Arabidopsis thaliana: one gene and its partners. The protein of the gene in region 3 interacts with the protein of the main gene of each other region in a pairwise test. Each region holds a gene or a part of one and is shown on either strand. Other genes may lie near its edges. The genes, in order: RPL12-A, PARC6 and FTSZ2-1.

Region 1 (4,696 bases), on a different chromosome or scaffold from region 3:
ACTCGTGTTAAGTCCGTTGATGTGAGGAGGAAGACTCTTTTATCGAGCACAGGGGAGACTATAAGTTACAAATTCTTGATCATTGCAACAGGTGCCCGGGTATGGCTTGCACAATAATATTTATGTTTTCGTTTATCCAAAGTAAGAGTGTGTTCCGGTGACTATTAGCATAAACGATAAATCACTGGTTTTTAACAACGTATTATCCTCTTTATGATTTTGTAATTAATTGGCTGAAGACAATGGGTTTTTGTAATAGTTGAATGTCTAGTAGATGTTGTGAACATTGTTGTAGGCAAATCTGCTCACTCCTGAAAATTGCCAAAGGAATTTGTGCTATTTTAAAACATAGAACATTAAACTGCTAAAGTTGTGGCCTTATTCTTGTCACATTTGGCTCGTGCAACTAGGCGTTGAAGCTTGAAGAATTTGGGGTGGAAGGCTCAGATGCTGAAAATGTTTGTTACTTACGAGATCTAGCTGATGCAAATAGGCTTGCCACTGTGATTCAATCAAGCTCCAACGGGAATGCGGTTGTTATCGGCGGTGGCTATATCGGTATGGAGTGTGCTGCATCTTTAGTGATCAACAAAATCAATGTGACGATGGTTTTCCCAGAGGCTCACTGCAGTAAGTTCTCTCGATTATTACTAAACTTACGTGTACGAGAGAAAGGTTGTGTATTTAGCTTGACCTTTTTAGTTTCTTATGACAGTGGCACGTCTCTTTACGCCCAAGATTGCAAGTTTGTATGAAGACTACTACAGGGCTAAAGGCGTAAAATTTATAAAAGGAACGGTTTTGACATCATTTGAGTTTGACTCGAACAAAAAGGTAAGATCGTTTCTTTTAGCTTGAGATTCAACTCGAAAAATGTCTGGTACGTTGCATCTATGTATACAACTAAGGATGGCAAGAATCAGTAGAACCACAGATACTTCTGGTCCAGTACTCAAACTATGAAATCTTGAGCCTTGTTCAATGTATTTGTTTATTGATATGAGGTTTTTTGGTTTTCGATTTACAGGTTACTGCAGTTAATCTCAAAGACGGGAGCCACTTACCAGCCGACTTGGTTGTGGTTGGTATCGGGATACGACCAAACACAAGCTTGTTTGAAGGACAGTTAACAATAGAGAAAGGAGGGATAAAAGTGAACAGCAGAATGCAGTCAAGTGACAGCTCAGTGTATGCAATAGGCGATGTAGCTACATTTCCAGTGAAACTATTTGGCGAAATGAGGAGGCTTGAGCACGTGGACTCAGCTAGGAAATCTGCGCGACACGCAGTTTCAGCCATCATGGATCCAATAAAGACCGGAGACTTTGATTACTTACCATTTTTCTACTCAAGGGTCTTCGCATTCTCATGGCAATTCTATGGAGACCCTACAGGTGATGTTGTGCACTTTGGAGAGTATGAAGACGGGAAATCATTTGGAGCGTATTGGGTTAAAAAGGGTCACCTTGTTGGATCTTTTCTTGAAGGAGGCACTAAAGAAGAATATGAAACTATCTCAAAGGCGACACAATTGAAACCAGCTGTGACTATTGATTTGGAAGAATTGGAAAGAGAAGGACTCGGGTTTGCTCACACGGTTGTGAGTCAGCAGAAAGTTCCTGAAGTTAAGGATATTCCGAGCGCTGAGATGGTGAAGCAATCTGCAAGTGTGGTCATGATAAAGAAGCCTTTGTATGTATGGCACGCAGCTACTGGAGTCGTTGTGGCTGCATCTGTGGCTGCGTTCGCGTTTTGGTATGGGAGGAGACGCCGTAGATGGTGAGGAAAAAAAAAACTCTTCAAGTGTTGGATTCATTGGAAATGGAACTTGCTGTTGTTTGTAGCATTGGTGGGAGAAATATAGAAGGGAGAGTCCAAACTACTCAATGTGATTACATTGGTATACGATTATTATATGCTTCTTTTAAAATGCATAAACGTTTCCACTACAAACTTTGATTCAACGTCTTTGAAGCCCTTTGTTACTTGTTAGTGTTCATAATCTTGTGATTATTGGTAGAGTTAATTCGGCAATACGGCAATACCCATAAAATTAGAAAAATAGCAATGAGGAGCTAGCTAACAAATAATTTTGCACACTTATTTAATTGTTATGACAGAAATCATAATTAATAAACAAACTAAATGTGATTAGAACAACAAGGGCGTTTGGTCTAGTGGTATGATTCTCGCTTTGGGTGCGAGAGGTCCCGAGTTCGATTCTCGGAACGCCCCTTTTTATTTTTTTAACTCCTCAACGTCAGGCCTCACGGGTATTTTCGTAAACATACAAACGATACAACCTCATCTATTTGTATATGCGCATGATAGCAAACGTACGCAATATTCTATTCCCCAAAATACCCCTTATCCATCATTTTTCTATCCTCTCATCTTTCATCTTCCTCACACACAATCCAATCAAAACACACAGAGAGAAGAAAAACTCAGAAGAAAAGCCAAAGAGTGAAACAAAAATGGCGTCGACGACTCTCTCAATCGCAACAACAATCCGTTCCTCATCTTATCCTACTCTCGCTTCCATCAATCACTTCCCTTCCCGAACCACCACCATCGAATTCCCCTCTCGCTTCGGTGGTGGTTCATCATCCACATTGACCCACCGTGCAACCCATCTCCGTCCAATCGCCGCCGTCGAAGCTCCGGAGAAAATCGAGAAGATCGGATCCGAAATCTCATCCCTAACCCTCGAAGAAGCTCGTATCCTCGTCGACTATCTCCAAGACAAATTCGGTGTCTCCCCACTCTCTTTAGCCCCCGCAGCAGCGGCGGTTGCTGCTCCAGCCGACGGTGGCGCGGCGGCTGTAGTGGAGGAGCAAACAGAGTTCGATGTGGTTATCAATGAAGTTCCGAGTAGTTCTCGTATTGCAGTAATTAAAGCTGTTAGGGCTTTGACTAGCTTGGCGTTGAAGGAAGCTAAGGAGCTAATCGAAGGATTACCAAAGAAGTTTAAAGAAGGTATCACTAAAGATGAAGCTGAAGAAGCTAAGAAGACTCTTGAAGAAGCTGGTGCTAAAGTCTCCATTGCTTAAGGTTTTTATAAAAAAAAAAAAAGAAGTTGTTATCTTTTCTGGAATTTGATTGGTCTTTTGTGTTGTTTAGTATAGTTTGCGTCTGGAATTGTTGAGAAATTGTTGTAATTTGAATCACATTTGGTTTCCCATTAGCTGATTTCGCCATTGATGTGAGCTTTTTGGTAGCTGCACATAACATGTTTGTTGAAATGCCTAAATGAGGCAAATCACTCGTAGTTGCTTAACATGAAACAGAGTTAAAAATAATAAGCACAAATGTCACTGCTACATTTTTTTACTTAGTATTGTAACACTCATGAAATATTTAGGATATATTATAAACGAGATCATGTATGAATACAAAAACACAGCATATTAACACCAAGTTTGAGGCATTGTCCACCTAAGAAACCTTGTTCTTTGCAGTGCTTATTGCAGTCCGGAAATTTTGAGCATAGACCTTCCACAAGGTACCACCCTCCTTGAGCTTTGGCCATAGATTTTGCGTGTACTTCACCTATCGTTTTCCAAAGATTGTTGTAATATTAGAAAAAAAGTCGTTACTCGTTTAGACATAAAGGCAAAAGAAAAAGAAAATTCACTCGACAAGAATCTCTTGCAGCTGGTAACAACGCAATATCACTATGTATTTTATTTTATTTTTTGTGATAACAAGTTAATATCACAATGTATTGTGAATCACAATGTATTGTGAAAATAATAGTGTATACAATATGTATGGAGATATGATCTAATGTCTGATATAAAATAAGTATTCGGTTTGCTAGTTAGTGTTGAGTGTTAACTCATGAATCTTGCTACTTTGGTTATACTTCAGTATATATGAATAAATTGAATTAAACAGAAAAAAAATATAAACGTTTTTTTGGCATACTTGGGGCGAGAAGAACAATCATGCATAAGAACACAAGGAAGGCGCATTTGCTTGATGAAGCCATTTTTGGTTTTTGTATTGTTTATTTTTCTAATATTTGCTAATGGAACACAATATTACTCAAAACCCTTATTAATATATATATATATATATCTGTATATATAGAGAGAGAAATATGATGAGTTTTTTACTTTGTAAATAAAATTGGATTCTTTTCTTATTTAATCTAGGATATTTTATTACATTTAAGTTATGGTTTTATTTTATATATATGAAATTTTTAATAATCATGATATGGGATGGGGTGGATTTAATTAGTGATGATTATAGGATTTAGATTCAATTTTTTCTATTAGTTTATTTTCATTATGATAACTTTAGGTATCCTACTATATTATTTAGGAAGTACATTTTAAATGTAACCTTAACTTTTGTAATTAATTACATGACAATGCCATTAGAAAAGTTTAATAAAAAAAATCCTTTAATGACGTCATTAAGGTTACCAAAATCATTTAACGACAATATTAATCTCTTAATTATAGGGTTTATTGGATCTACAGACGGGTTAGCAAAATATACTGAATATTCAAATATCTATCTGTTAGCAAATTATAAACAAATAAGTTCGTAAAAGAATTTCATATTTTATATACGAAATCAACTAAATCTTAATCACATAAAAATTAGCACAAAAAAAAAGTATTCAACCATTAAAAAATTATCAAATCTCTGTGTTATATAAGTTTTGATAGTATATTCGAAT
Region 2 (7,889 bases), on a different chromosome or scaffold from region 3:
TTGGTTTGGTAAAGCTTGCATATTCTGAATCTAAGCTTGACTGGAGCTTCTCTGCCCTGTCGAATGCGTACATTCTTGCGTCGTCCGAAGCATATACCCGATTCAGCAAATCTCTTCTTCGAGAGCTCCTGCAAAGCAAAACACATAACTTATACTGAAAAGTGAAAACAAACATCAAATAGTGTAAGAGAAGTAATGTATTCATAGAGAGTGTGGATTGGTCAACCTTCTTGGCCTCCTCTCCAGTGGTTCTAGCCCAAACTGCGAGTAAGGATCAGATAACTCTGATAATGAGTAATGAGAAACAACTCACGTTTTTATTCAAAAAAAAGAGAAACAACTCACGCAAATTATAACTAAGAAAAATTGCACAAAAAGATCAAACCCACAAATTTCATATCTCATACAAAATCCTTAAGAAATCCTTAAGGAAACTCAAGTAAAGATAAATGGTAGTAAAAGACCTCTTTATAACTTGGAGGTGGACCTTTGGCACGGCTTGATCTCCTGACCTCCGAGAAATCCACTGGAATACGCATCGTTCTTGGCTTTGCCTACATTTCCATAAAAAAAATTGGTTAATTTCAGAAAAAGAAAAGAAGAAATGAGAAGAGAAGAGAAAGGAAACGTTACTGGTGAGGGCTTGGAAGAAGAAGAAGAAGAAGAAGAGACACGAAGAGATTGAGCAAGCTTGTTGAGATTAAGCTCCCCCATTCTCTTCTTGTTCTCTTCCACCCTATTCAAACGAATCTGTTCATAGCTTAGCTCCGATTCCACCATTTCTCTTAGGAATCCGAAACAGAGATAGAGAAACGAAAGAGACAGATCCAAGTCTTGCTTGACTCTTCAATGCGCTTTTGAGTGACCGTTGGGTTTCTTCTTTCACCGCTATGTATGTGTTTATACTTCTCCAATTTTTTTTTTCTTTTTATGTAATAAAAATCTTAATCATTGTGTCTAATCAAACAAATTGAAATTTCAAATTCTCAACAGTGGAAGGTCTGAGTAAGCCTCCATCGTGATACGTGAAGCAGGTATGGGCTTCTTAAAAGACGTTTCTTTTTTTTCCCTCCATAATTAACAATTATTTTGAGATCCCTTAATATTTTTAACTATTTTAAGAAAACATTTGATTTGATCAGTAACGCTTTACAATAATAATAAAAAAAATACTCAAGAAGTTTGTTTATCCATAAACACATTGAAATCAAAAGAATCTACAAAGACAAATCCTGTGGGTTACTAAGGAATAAAGAAACAAACCTGAGACTTTCCTACACCGTTAGGTAAACAAGAACAACCGTTAGCTAAATGATCCCATGTTCTACTGTTGATGCTACAACCTTTAGTTAGATGATGAGCTTTTTTTTCTGGGGGATTTTCACTTCTGTATTTGAATATCGCTTTGGCAGAATTTCCACAATCCATCTTCTTGCTTCTTCAGAATATATCGGATCTTGTAAGTGCTACAAGAAATTTACAAAGGCTGCATCAGTGAAGAAGATACCAGCTCAGTCCAAAAGTAACCCGAAAGCGAAATGTTTTTTTTTACCTATAATATTTTGCGTTTTTGGGCTGAGATTCATCAACTAATTCTGCTGCTTCCTCCAGAAGAGCTTCGATTTCTGCAGCCTCACCAGCAATACCATCTTCGAATATATGTGCTTGCAAAACCTCAAGATGAAGCAGAACGAACCTCCAATAACAGGATTTCGCCTCTGCTGTTTGTGCCAATGTTTGCCACTGCATTAAACAAAGAAATATTGACTCTACCTAAACATTGATGTTCAACTGTAGTAAACTAACATAATTAAGTAAAGGAATAATAGGAGATGTATAGAAACAGTAACCTGGACAAGCATGGATTCATCAAGGACTTCGGAAAGGCTATAAACTTGATGTGTTGGTCCAAGAGCTTCAGCCTTAACATTTTCCCACTGTCTCACAAGCTCTTCCGCTTCTTCTGTATCCATTGGTCTCTTATGCAGTTCTGACGCAGAATGAGACAATGATGTAGCTGATTGACCAGAGCTTTTCAGATACAGGGCATCCGGATGTTCGCCACAATGCATCTTTAACATGTCAATGAGCACTTTGATGTTTCCCACGATACCATTTCTATTCACAGAATCAAGGTTTTTTCTGAAATTCCCAGACTCTGTTTTCCACAGAAAAGAATCTGATTCTGAATGCGGCCTAGCAGAAACCGATATAGGCATACTCTGTAGTCTACCAGACCTAATGCCTGATAGCTTCAGAGAGAAGAACACGGTGCAACCCAGTAAAGCAACAACAGATACCCTTCCGATCAAACTGCTTTGAGAGAGCCACTCATCCCATATTTTATTTTTGTGTACACCAAGGTTCCTCTTCAGTTGAACAGATGGCATACTGGCACTGGTTTCATCATTATTCTTGGCTGATACCACTGGGCTCTGCAAATCTGTTGGTGTCAACTGCTCGACAGCTGTATAAAGATGTTGTGACGAGTTCACGAACTGTGTTGTGGAAAGTGGTCTTTGGTTCGTCTTATGATTCATGATCGAAGGTGACCCCATTTTCTTGTTTTCTGGATATTTCTTTTCAGCCCGGAAAAAATTGGCCTGCAGAAAGTTGTATATATGATTATCTTTCTGCATAAAAATAGAACTGCTATACAGAATCTTCCAGTAGTGATCTGATTCTTACCAAAGATGGAGAACAACCCCTTGTGTCTGGAAAGTTAGCAAGCACGGACTCCATTAGCCACGCTTCCTGGTCAATTTTATAGGTAGCATGTATGAAGGTCGCTATCAATCTTTCTATGAAAAAAAATCAGAGCTAGCGAAGAGATGTACATACTTGCAAAATTTCCAAATTAAATTTAGTGCATGAACCCAAGGGCTTACTCAAACAAATATTAAGATTTATGTGTATGTACAACCAATCGAAAAAGAAAATGTTAACGGCAGGCATACACAATGCTGTTAAAGCATATTCTATGAATTTAACTACCATCCACTAAATGTATCTATTTCCATTGTTTCAATTACAGCCTGAAACATAGCTCAAACTTATTCATACTCCACTAGAGTTGATCATGCCATTTACATCAGGCATAGCCCTCGCTCTAGTCGTAGCAACAAATGAACACATATTCTTGGTAAAAATCATAAGGTTTACCAGTGAGGGAGTAGCAGAAGTACTTCTCGACTCTTTCCCCAAGATCGAATTACGAACGGCAGAGTCTGAATTTGATTCCAGCTGCTTAAGTTTTTCCAGGGCCTCTGCCTCGGAACCCTGTGCTATCCAACATGTAGGTCCAGTAGCACTTAACTAAATGAACAACGCAAGGATCTTTCGAAGCAAGTGAACTTGAAGTAAATAAGATGCACAAGCATAGTTGATAGGGAAAAAGAATAAAGAAAGCAAGAGGAAAAATACCTGTTTTAGAAGAAATGAGCAAAAAGCTTCCTCAAATTTCAGATCAACACCTTCTGATGCTATGAGACATTCGCATATCGTTTTTGCTTTATTAATCTACACAAGCATACTGAATGTTATGCTTTATAAGCAGATAGAGTAGAGAAGAAATGGACCAATCAGTCTAAATTTAACAAAAGGAAAGAAAACGAGATATACCGTTTCATTTTGCTTGCCTGAAAATCCAACAGCGATGTGACCAAGTAACACCATGTAGAAACAATTAAAATCAATAACAACTCTTTGATTGTGGGATTCCAGTGATTTTTTATTTTTCCGTGTAATGGCTAAATCATCCCATGGAAGAAGATCGACAATCTCTGTGGCCAATAACCTGCTAATTGCCTGGCTCAAAAAGCATGGCCAGTCTTGAATTTGACATGAAGCTTCAACACTAAGGCCCTGTCTGAGCAGTTCGCGTAGCGCGGCAATTGCACCTCGCCTCCTCTCTGCATTTTCTGGCGTGCGTGGCAGGCCCAGTAGATCCAATGTGCAAGGTGGTGCAAGCTCCTCTAGTGACTCCTCAATCTATAAATATCAATTTTAACCCCTTAAAACCCAATATGCTGGTAAATTATGCTTTTGGACAATACGTACTTATATGTGAAGCTCCTAAACATGATGCGATTTACAGTAAGGCATGATCATGCACTTTTAATAATTCAAGCCAGTAACAGGGCTAAAAGTAAACTCAGAGAAGCTTTATATATACTAATGCAAGACAGTAGAACCTGTTACCTGAGTTAACAATGCAAGTTTCCCAAGAGTAACTTTACTCTTCAGAAAACTTTGAGCACGAGCAAGAGCTTCAAATCCTTGAGAGACCTTGTTAACCTCGAAAGCAGCCTTGGCAATTGCACACTAAATGGAAAACAAACATATTAGAGATAGAAGAAGCAGAGGATAGTGAAAGTAGATAACTAGTTCCCATTCTTAGTTCATTTGATTTTACCTCAGCAAGTGCCATAGATAAGAATATATCATGAATATATGGCTTTGAATCAAGGTTCCTGAGAGCAGCCCGGCCAATATCCAGCACAAGTTTTTCTTGTCCAACCTGAAGCATAGTAGCAGAAAGATCAGTACAAAACATTTGCAGGGATAAAACGCAATAAAAGGTCAGAAGTAGTACCTCTTGAAGAAGGCATAGAGCACCAGGCAACCATGCCCACGGAATTCTGAGAGGAGATTTAGGAGCAATCTTTTCTTTTAGGTTACCAGCATATTCTGATTCAAAAAGAAGTTTATCCCTAACATCCATGAGAAGATCCTACACATTAAGAACAAAGTATCAAGAAACTGAAGCCACATTCCCTGTCCAACTCTAGTGATACTATAGGTCTTAACCTGGCGAGCTGCAGCAGCTTCCATTGTATAACCCTCTTCAGCATCAGTTTTTTTCAAATTTATAACCGACTTAACGACCTCGTCTTTCTCAGCTTGCTCAGAAACTCCGATAAGCTGCAAAATCAATACAATTAACAGTATCCTGGAATAATGTCTAACAAACGAAACGCTACATTCTTTACACTCTATTGCAGAAATGAACTATGATACAATATTAAATTGCCAAATCAATACATCCATCTCGTTCTACGCGCTAGAGACTACAAATTGGAGGAAAATGTTTCTATTTCAACAAAATTTAGAAGGATAAAAACAAGTTCCACTTGCACTTCAACGAGGAGCTAAGTAGCAAATCGCGAGAGATAGTAGTATCTACAGAGATTCCGAAAAGTAAGTCAGTCGGAGCAAAATACCTGGTAACACGTAACCGGGAGTTCGATTGTAGAGGTAGATGCAGCGAGAGAAGAAGTACGAGACGGCGCATTGTCGACGACATGGATACCACCACCAGCAGCATTCAACCTCCTCCGTCCTTCTCGCTGAAACCGCCGCAAAGATAAACCAGAACCGAAGAATTCACCGGATTCAGAACGAACGACGAGGAGACCTGAGATCTGAAGCTCCGGGCGATCTACGACGAAGCTGGTGCTGCGATTGGAGATTCCGCAAAGCAGACAAGAAGAAGGGAGAACTGGAAATGTGTAAGCTACTGGCATTGCGCAACAGCTCCAGAAAACGAACGAACCCTAGAAGAAGTAGAGTGAAGCTGGAATCATGGTACAATTTGTTGGATTTCTTCAGAGGAGAAAAAATCGGAAATTTGGTCTCAAGGCTTTTGAGTTTTGACAGTGATTTTTGCCTTTTTCTGAAAGTTTCGTCTTGTGACGATAATAAGGTAACCCGCTGGCCGAAAGAGAGGCTCTGCTAATCTAGGACTAGACGAGACGAGACGTGGTCACGTGATCACGCCACGTGGATAATAAAGAAACATCTGGAAGATTATTTTATCCGTCCCTGGACATGGGCCTAGCTCTCGGCCCATAACTAATGTGCGAGAGAAACTACTGCAAGCTCATCGCATGCTACCAGTAGTCTAGTACTGATCAAAGGTTTAATTTGTGTGTAAGAAAAAACTTATATATAATTTAAAATTTGTTTAAATCTGATCAATATGATTTTTTCTGAATCAAATACCTGGAAAGTATATGTCTGGTGTAAACTTTTAACTTGATCAGATTTTGTAATACTTTCACTTAAGTTTAATATCATGAAAAAAGATTTAAGATATTTTGTAGTCATTATATTTTTGGAGGATAGCAAATTGCAACACTCAAACACATTTGGCTATATGAGAACCACGTTTCCTTTCTTGCAAATCAGCACCTCTTTTTTGTCCCGACTTAAAAATTCAGAAAAATAAAATGCCAATTTAGTAAAATAGAGAATATTTTTCACAATAATTTTGTGTGTTGTACAAGAAATGAGGTATTTCATTTTATTTTATTTTACTTTTTTCCTCTACAAGCAAAAACACACAACTACACAAGGATAAAACCTCTTGCCGTTGGGTTTATTTAGCTTCTTTGCAATATCCTTAATTTCGTCTCCGTCAGTAGCAGTCTCCGCCGGGAATATTTTTTTTCCGGTAGCTATGCTCCGAACCGTCTCTTGTTTAGCTTCGCGCAGCTCGTCCTCTCTATTCTTTCGCTTCTTTCGTCAGTTCCCTCGCTCTTACATGTCTCTCACATCGTCGACGGCAGCTCTCCGTGTCCCCAGTCGCAATCTTCGCCGAATTTCCTCTCCCTCAGTCGCCGGTAGACGTCTTTTGCTCCGACGAGGTTTGAGGATTCCCTCCGCCGCAGTTCGCAGTGTCAATGGGCAGTTCTCTCGCCTCTCTGTTCGCGCCGTCGCCACACAACCCGCTCCACTTTATCCTGGTTGGAATTTTTCACATATACTTCTTTTTTTCAATCTGTTTGAAGTTTAATTGCTAATTGATTTGTTCTCTTAATTCGGACATGTTGATTTGTGGCACTTGTGAAATTGTGGTTCTTACTTTAGGATAGGTTGTGAATTGTAGATAGGTGTGGTCCGTGTGGTGCATTTTTCATCTCATGCTTTGTGTCTACTTTGTAATCAAATGGAGCCATGTGTAACCTCTGCTGATGCGTGATTTTCCTTATTTTTGGTTGTTTGGATTCAGATGTAGGTCAAGATGAGGCTGAGAAGCTTGGATTTGAAAAAGTGTCGGAAGAATTCATCTCAGAGTGTAAATCAAAGGCGATACTCTTCAAACACAAGAAAACTGGTTGCGAGGTGATGTCTGTGTCAAATGAGGATGAGAACAAGGTCTTCGGTGTTGTTTTCAGAACTCCTCCGTAAGTTTACTTCATAATAATTTTTACTCTCTGTAAATTTGACCTGAGTATGTATTAGGCAATTGAAATTGGTACCTAAAGCTTCACTCCTTGAATTTAACTAATTGAAATGGTCAAGTTTATCTCTACTCATCAAAGCTTTTTTTTTCTGATTAGACCTAGTCATTTCGTTTCTTCTTCTAATATATTGGTACTTGTAAAGTGGTCTAAGTTTTGGAGGTTACAACTTGTCAAATTACTTAACGCTTTGTTAAAAGTCGATATGAGCAACTGCACTTTCAGTAGATATTGGTCCCACAGGCACCTCCTTGTGAAAGACTTGCAAAAACTAATAATGGAAGCAATTTTAGATCATAGTTTCGTTGTTAATGCAGGAAGGATTCCACTGGCATTCCGCACATACTGGAACATAGCGTTCTATGTGGGTCAAGAAAGTACCCGGTAAAAGAGCCATTTGTTGAACTACTCAAGGGAAGTTTGCATACTTTTCTAAATGCATTCACATATCCTGATAGGACCTGCTACCCAGTTGCTTCCACCAATACAAAGGTACAATGAGCCAAACATTAAGTCCTTCTTTTGTTGTCCTCAGTGGGCTAACCTCTTTCTTTCTGTTATTGTTATCTAAAGTGAGTCTATTTCTGATCACAACTCATCACTATCACTATCTATGGTAGGATTTTTACAATCTTGTCGATGTAT
Region 3 (6,565 bases):
CTTCAACACTCTTATTAGAGGGTTTTTGAGCAGTGGTAAAATCGAGGAAGGTGTTAAAATGGCTTATGAGATGATTGAGCTAGGTTGTAGATTCTCAGAAGCTACTTGTGAGATTCTTGTTGATGGGTTGTGTAGAGAAGGTCGGGTTGACGATGCTTGTGGATTGGTGCTCGATCTTTTGAACAAGAGGGTTTTACCTAGTGAGTTTGATTATGGTAGTTTGGTTGAGAAACTCTGCGGAGAAAACAAGGCGGTTAGAGCAATGGAGATGATGGAGGAGCTGTGGAAGAAAGGCCAAACCCCATGTTTCATTGCTTGTACTACACTCGTCGAAGGGTTGAGGAAATCAGGAAGAACAGAGAAAGCGTCAGGGTTTATGGAGAAGATGATGAATGCAGGAATTCTTCCCGATAGTGTGACATTTAACTTGCTTCTTCGGGATCTCTGCAGTTCTGATCATTCTACTGATGCAAACAGATTGAGACTTTTGGCATCAAGCAAAGGATATGAACCCGATGAGACAACGTACCATGTTTTGGTTTCGGGGTTCACGAAAGAAGGGAGAAGAAAGGAAGGAGAAGTTCTAGTGAACGAGATGTTGGATAAAGATATGTTGCCTGATATCTTTACATATAATAGATTGATGGATGGCTTGTCCTGCACTGGAAAATTCTCAAGGAAACAAGTCCGGATGTTGTAACCTGTGTTTGATCTGTGTAAACTAGACCCAAGCTATATCTATGTATCAACAAATTTTATTTTGAACATATGAAATGGAAACCAAGTTGGTTCTTTGTTTGGTTGCTGCACATTGCCACAGAATCATGCGTCGGAGATGAACTTTTTTTATTCGAAAGTCACAGTTGTTTGCTGGTATATCGCTATTGATTTTTTTATTAACTGAATGAAAAATGACAATAATTTCTGCTAAAACTCTCATAATCTTATAAGTATGTTTATGGTTCGAGAAGTGTGATTCTTCTTCTCCTTTTTTGTTTTGGAAGTGACATAGAGAGAAACTCCGATTTCTAAAACAACCTATTCAAGAACACGACCAGAGGCAGTGACAGAACATATACACACCCACACAGATTCTTGATCATACATCAACACATCTTGCTGTATCCCAGAAGGCAGTACCAGACTACCAGTACACACACGTTTGTTATTGCTGCAGTGTGCAGGGTAGTGATTAGATTGGGCTTTAGACTCGGGGATAACGAGAGCTGCCTTTCTTCTTCAAGAACTCTGGGATCTCCACTGAACCGCTTTCTCTAAAGGAAGAAGAGGGTCTTCTTGTAGCTCCAACTGACGCAGCATCTGCTTGTACCATCTGAACTGTTCGTCCTTCTCCCTCTTCTTGTCGTTTGAAACCCGTAGCTATCAGGGTTATGCTTACCTTTTACCAAAAAAAACATCAATTCTATCATCTCTAGAGGTCTTATCTATGTTTAGTAGAAGAAACATTATAAAGGACATACTTGACCGCTGAGGGCTGGATCTACAACAGCACCGAATATAAGATTGGCAGTTGGATCGACAAGATCATATATTACTTCTGCAGCAGCATTTACCTACACAAGACCAAAGTGTATGAAAAACTATAGAGCATCTTAGGGGTATGAAGCAAAATCAGGCTTTGCTCTAAGTTGTCTATGGAAGGAAGAAAATAAATGATTTTAACACCCTGTCAATGCGTCTCTCAAGATCCAGTTATTGTTTATGGATCTATCGACATAGAGATAAGAAACAAAGATGAGAGAGAGAGACAAAAACCTCAAACAATGTCAAGTCACTTCCGCCAGTAATGTTCCAAACAATTCCAGTGGCTCTCTCAATCCCAATATCTAACAAAGGAGATTGGATTGCATTTAGCGCAGCATCTCTTGCCCGACTCTTTCCTGAATGATTACAAGTAGCATGAAAGAATCAGCACGTTGCAAACAAAACAAAACCTTGCGCAAAAGAAGTTCAAGGTTCATGACTTTGATTATTACATCATGACATAGATGCACAATAGTTGAGTAACAGTGAATATAATATGGTCATTTTCAGTATCCCAGTCACTAGACTGGTTTCTTTGCCACACCAATCTACTAGCTCATTAGTTCAATTAGACTATTTCGACACATATCTAGTGACTAATGGTTCTGCTTATGAAACTATGCAGCTAAATGAGCTTATCCATCATTCCAAACTTACCTGTCGCAGTTCCTATTCCCATCAATGAAGACCCCGCATTTGCCATTATAGCTCTCACATCAGCAAAATCCACATTCACCAAACCAGGAATCTACAAATCAAGGACAAACGTAGCTGGTAAATCATTTGCCATACACAAAAAAATGATCACAGGATGCCCATAAGAAAAGCTATACCGTAATGATATCAGATATCCCACGAACCCCCTGACGGAGTATATCATCAGCTAGATTAAATGCTTCTGTTACCGGAGTAGACTGAGAGACAGCTGTAAGCAACTTGTCATTTGGAATGACGATGAGAGTGTCAACATTGTCTCTGAGAGATGCAAGCCCTTCTTGAGCCTGAACAGTTCTTCTTCGACCCTCAAACGAGAAAGGCGTAGTGGCAATACCAACTGTCAATATACCCATCGCCTTGGCAATTCCTGCAATTACAGGGGCTGCACCAGTGCCAGTTCCACCGCCCATTCCAGCCTATAAAATGATGAAGAGACATATAAACCTCACTCTTTTGGACAGATGGAGACCAGAACTAGCTGATAAGTGATTGACAAATGACACATACCTCTTTTTCTACAATCAAAGTTTATAACTAAGAAGAACAAATGCAATAGTAATAATAAAGATTTGAGGACATACTGTGACAAAGACCATATCTGAGCCATAAAGAGCTTCTTCAATAACTTCTTTGCTCTCTCTAGCAGCATTCATACCGATTTCTGGATTTCCTCCAGCACCTAAACCCCTAGTCAACTCCTTACCAATTTGTAACCTATTATCAGGCAAAACAGGAGACATTCTCATAGCCTGGATATCAGTGTTGACAATCCAGAACTCCACACCTGACATTTCACTCTCTATCATACGATTCACAGCATTTGATCCACCACCTCCCACACCAATAACCTTAATCCTCGCCTCATTGTAGTTACTCGGAGCAGATGGCTCTTCAAAATCCTCGACAACAGGTCCAGAAGACGTTTCCTTTCTTGGATTGACTATTGTACTAGTCCCTTCACCTCTAAGCATAGATATTTCCGGGTGAAGGTTCAAGAAAGGATCTTGAGCTTGGCTTTGGTAATGCCGTGGAGAGTTTCTGATTGGAGAAGATTCAGATTTCTGAGCGGCAACAACAACTCGGTTTTTCTTACTGTCAATCGTTCTAATGGAGTTCAACCTGCCTAAATGATTCTCCGGTAAAACATTCTTTCTAAGAACAGTTAGTAACCGAGAATCCGAAGGAGTAAAACACGGTGAAACGTAAGTTGCCATAATGAGACCAATCACTGCAGGACTTTACAAAATTCAGAACCAAAAGACTAAATCCAATTCCACTGATTACTTCCCTAACAAGACCTGTTCATAAAAAGCTAAATGGTCAAACCCAAAGCTCTCAATTTAGAGTTATATGATTCAGCCACAAAGTAAAACACGAAATCCACAAAGTAGCCACAAAGCAGTGTGATTTACATTCATAAAGTTAACATAAACAAAACCCAGTCGCATCTATGCTCCATTGTTAACCAGCAATAGATATCAAATCCTCAGAAATTGAGAATCAGTGGATGGTTTAAGACTTAGAAGAATGAAACAAGTGAGGAACCACAAAACCCAAATTAAACTAAAATGCTTTTTCCCATTACGAATTGAAGAAATTGAAGATGGGTATTGCGAAGTTTGCAGCATTACATGAAAACAAAGTAGAGAAATGGAAGAACACTGAGAAAAGCTTAGATTTTTGGGTAAATACAGTAAGATGGAGGACGAAATCAAAAGGATAAAGCTGGAGGGAAGTGGAGAAGAGAAACCTGAGAGTAGCAGAGGAAACCTGGAAGAAGAGTTGGGAGAGAAAAAGTGTGAATTGAACAAGGAGCTCAAGGTCTGGAGGAAACCCACGAAACGGAGGGTTTTGGTGTTTTCTGACTAGTAAATATCTCAAATTCATTAAACCCCCAATAATTAAAAAATATATAAAAAATGCTTTTGTTCATAAAATTTTTATTTTTATTTTGGTAAAATTTTGTTCCAATTTATCACTGTTATGTTGGTGTTGGTAAGAAAAAAAACTATGGGAAATGATTGTACTTTAAATTTCATTTCATGTACTTTCATTGAATTTTTTGTGTAAATTTGCTAAATGAATTTTATGAAGGAAACAAAAAAAATTACAAGAAAAATGTGGTGGCTACATTACATAGTTGGAACAATAATGTCATCATTTGAATTAACTAAAAACAAAAAGCAACTCTAGTCGTTACGGCAAAAGAGTTTCGAGGTTGTGATATTCCTTTATGTTTCATGGTTTAGGAATATGGTTTTGAACTTTTGATTAGAGTTTTCCTTGTACTTTACTTCTTTTGAGTTTAGGTTAAGAGTTCTATTACTATTAGGAGTTGATTTGGTGTTATAGATAAGACTCATTAGCCTTTGTTCAACAAAAAATAGCACATACATATAGATTAATGACAAGAATGAAGAAAAAGAAGAGGACATATATATAGGAGAGATAATGGAACACCAAAAGCAAACATAATAAACAGATTTAATCTTACATTCATTTATCGCATCAGCTACATTTACGGTGCTGATGCAAATTTATTGAAAGCGATAAAATAAAAACACACAAACATGGAACACACATGTAGATATGTGACATTGATCATAAGCAATGCACACATTATTTAGGTACTGATACACAATTATTCACGTTTCATATTTGGTTTTGCGTCCGGATGAGATACTTAACAAGGTCCGTAGCAGTGACAGTGCGTCTCGTTGTCTTCCACTTCACATGCCCCAAACCAAGTTGTGTTGGTTGCCCTGCAAAGAAGGTCACACAATTTTGAGCCGTCAACTTTAACACACACACCCTCTTGAGCTTCACCTTTAAAGCATGTTTGGGCTACCGCCTTTGGGAGTCCTGTTTTAACCATTCTCACATTAATCTTTTCACATCCATATCGATATTAATATAGGACAAAGGAAGTTAAGAAAATCTTAAAATTACCATTAGAAACCAACAAGATGATCATCAAGAGAGCAGAGAAGTTAACTATGAGCTTTGCCATATTTCTTTGTTGTTGTTTTGTGTTTGCTTCTTCTTCTTTTTTTAATAGAGCAGAGATTGATGAGCTTGTAGCTAACTATTTGAAAGCATAGAATCATTTATAGGGCAAACTCGTTGACTTTTATTTCTTCTATTTGAATCCAAGACATATATAGTTTATTAGTTTTTGTGTAATATGGATTAATGTATATAATGTCGCCATAATTTGAATTGCTAGTTGACAAAACAGAAATGAATTGCACGATCCACCCAATGTCTCGCTAATGATCTCTCTATGTTGCATCCAAATTGTAACAATTTTTTATATAGCAACATATTATAATTTTAATGTCATTATTTTGGCCCAACTAAAATTCAAGGGATGAGGATAAAGTATATAGAACACCAAACCTTGTATCATACGTATGAATACACAGAAATAGTTAAATATAATTATTGAAGTGTTCTTAGTAAAGTGCCTTGACTCAACTTAACATAATGAGCACATATAATGACATTGATATTGTATTGACTCTTTGTTTCATATGATACTATACCAAATAAATTTCTTATTATATAAAATGTTTTCATAACAATTTGACATGTCGCATAATTATAATCTCATGTTTTGCGATTAGCTTTTCCGCCAAAAAATGCTATATAACCAGAGGCTTAGAGTGAGAATAAAACAAGAAACAAATCAAACACAACAATTTTCCGCTTGTAAATGTGATCGTAGCCTTGGAGGACTTATAACTTAGGGTTCATGGGAGAATGTTAGTGGACGAATACGGGAGCGTTGACACGTTTGGTAGTTATTATTATGTTGTGTAATTAAGACTTTTTCTGGAAGCTAGATCGTTTCATCATCCCATATTCAATACAAACTTTATATATTACTAATACTAATTCTTTCGGGCTTTACAGGCCTAAACAGTTCTTAAGACTTGTTCACTAAATTATATATTAAAGTACAATGGCTCTTTAAATATCAACTTGTAACAAATTTGCTTGGACGTCTTCTTCCTCTCTGAAAAATCTTTAGCACAAATTTGAAATCCTCGAATATTTGGTCGGCGATGAGAAAGCAAGTATTAGCATTGAGTGACACGGCGGCTGCGAGGATTCGCCAACTTCTGCAGCATCAGCAAAAACCTTTCCTCCGCCTTGCTGTTGAAGCCAAAGGATGCAATGGCCTATCTTACGTCCTCAATTACGCCCGTAATTTCCATTTTTTCCCACATATATATTTCTTTTTTGTTGATTTTTTCCTCATAAATTATGTTGATATATATTTGATGCTCATGATGAGGAG

Evidence for each region.
Region 1: the proteins of FTSZ2-1 (region 3) and RPL12-A interact in a protein complementation assay, tested with the Arabidopsis thaliana proteins (one study listed by BioGRID).
Region 2: the proteins of FTSZ2-1 (region 3) and PARC6 interact in a two-hybrid assay, tested with the Arabidopsis thaliana proteins (one study listed by BioGRID).

The regions. Positions count from the first base shown.
Region 1 is NC_003074.8:10,316,099-10,320,794, forward strand, and holds RPL12-A (ribosomal protein L12-A), read left to right. Parts: upstream 1-2,406; 5' UTR 2,407-2,477; coding exon 2,478-3,053; 3' UTR 3,054-3,054; exon of another isoform or gene 3,055-3,334; intron 3,335-3,382; coding exon of another isoform or gene 3,383-3,552; 3' UTR 3,553-3,822; downstream 3,823-4,696. Other genes in the region: MDAR4 (monodehydroascorbate reductase 4), read left to right, coding at 1-99, 411-630, 716-834, 1,028-1,783; AT3G27831 (Gamma-thionin family protein), read right to left, coding at 3,383-3,552, 3,931-3,994.
Region 2 is NC_003074.8:6,630,446-6,638,334, reverse strand, and holds PARC6 (plastid division protein), read right to left. Parts: upstream 5,699-7,889; 5' UTR 5,526-5,698; coding exon 5,223-5,525; intron 4,924-5,222; coding exon 4,810-4,923; intron 4,733-4,809; coding exon 4,595-4,732; intron 4,520-4,594; coding exon 4,415-4,519; intron 4,324-4,414; coding exon 4,201-4,323; intron 3,991-4,200; coding exon 3,622-3,990; intron 3,520-3,621; coding exon 3,424-3,519; intron 3,280-3,423; coding exon 3,163-3,279; intron 2,755-3,162; coding exon 2,689-2,754; intron 2,604-2,688; coding exon 1,851-2,603; coding exon of another isoform or gene 1,788-1,850; exon of another isoform or gene 1,744-1,787; coding exon 1,553-1,743; intron 1,467-1,552; coding exon 1,382-1,466; 3' UTR 1,043-1,381; downstream 1-1,042. Other genes in the region: AT3G19184 (AP2/B3-like transcriptional factor family protein), read right to left, coding at 1-128, 227-261, 465-554, 634-780; PREP1 (presequence protease 1), read left to right, coding at 6,461-6,746, 7,013-7,187, 7,562-7,736, 7,865-7,889. UniProt on the Arabidopsis thaliana protein: Component of the plastid division machinery required for PDV1 localization to constriction sites. Involved in chloroplast division site placement. Required for the proper formation of FtsZ rings at the division site in nongreen plastids (e.g. etioplasts).
Region 3 is NC_003071.7:15,196,457-15,203,021, forward strand, and holds FTSZ2-1 (Tubulin/FtsZ family protein), read right to left. Parts: upstream 4,148-6,565; 5' UTR 4,013-4,147; exon of another isoform or gene 3,561-4,012; 5' UTR 3,477-3,560; coding exon 2,844-3,476; intron 2,679-2,843; coding exon 2,379-2,678; intron 2,294-2,378; coding exon 2,203-2,293; intron 1,902-2,202; coding exon 1,777-1,901; intron 1,575-1,776; coding exon 1,482-1,574; intron 1,400-1,481; coding exon 1,205-1,399; 3' UTR 913-1,204; downstream 1-912. Other genes in the region: AT2G36240 (pentatricopeptide (PPR) repeat-containing protein), read left to right, coding at 1-700; AT2G36255 (Defensin-like (DEFL) family protein), read right to left, coding at 4,946-5,124, 5,212-5,272; AT2G36260 (Iron-sulfur cluster biosynthesis family protein), read left to right, coding at 6,330-6,471. UniProt on the Arabidopsis thaliana protein: Exhibits GTPase activity which converts GTP ligands to GDP.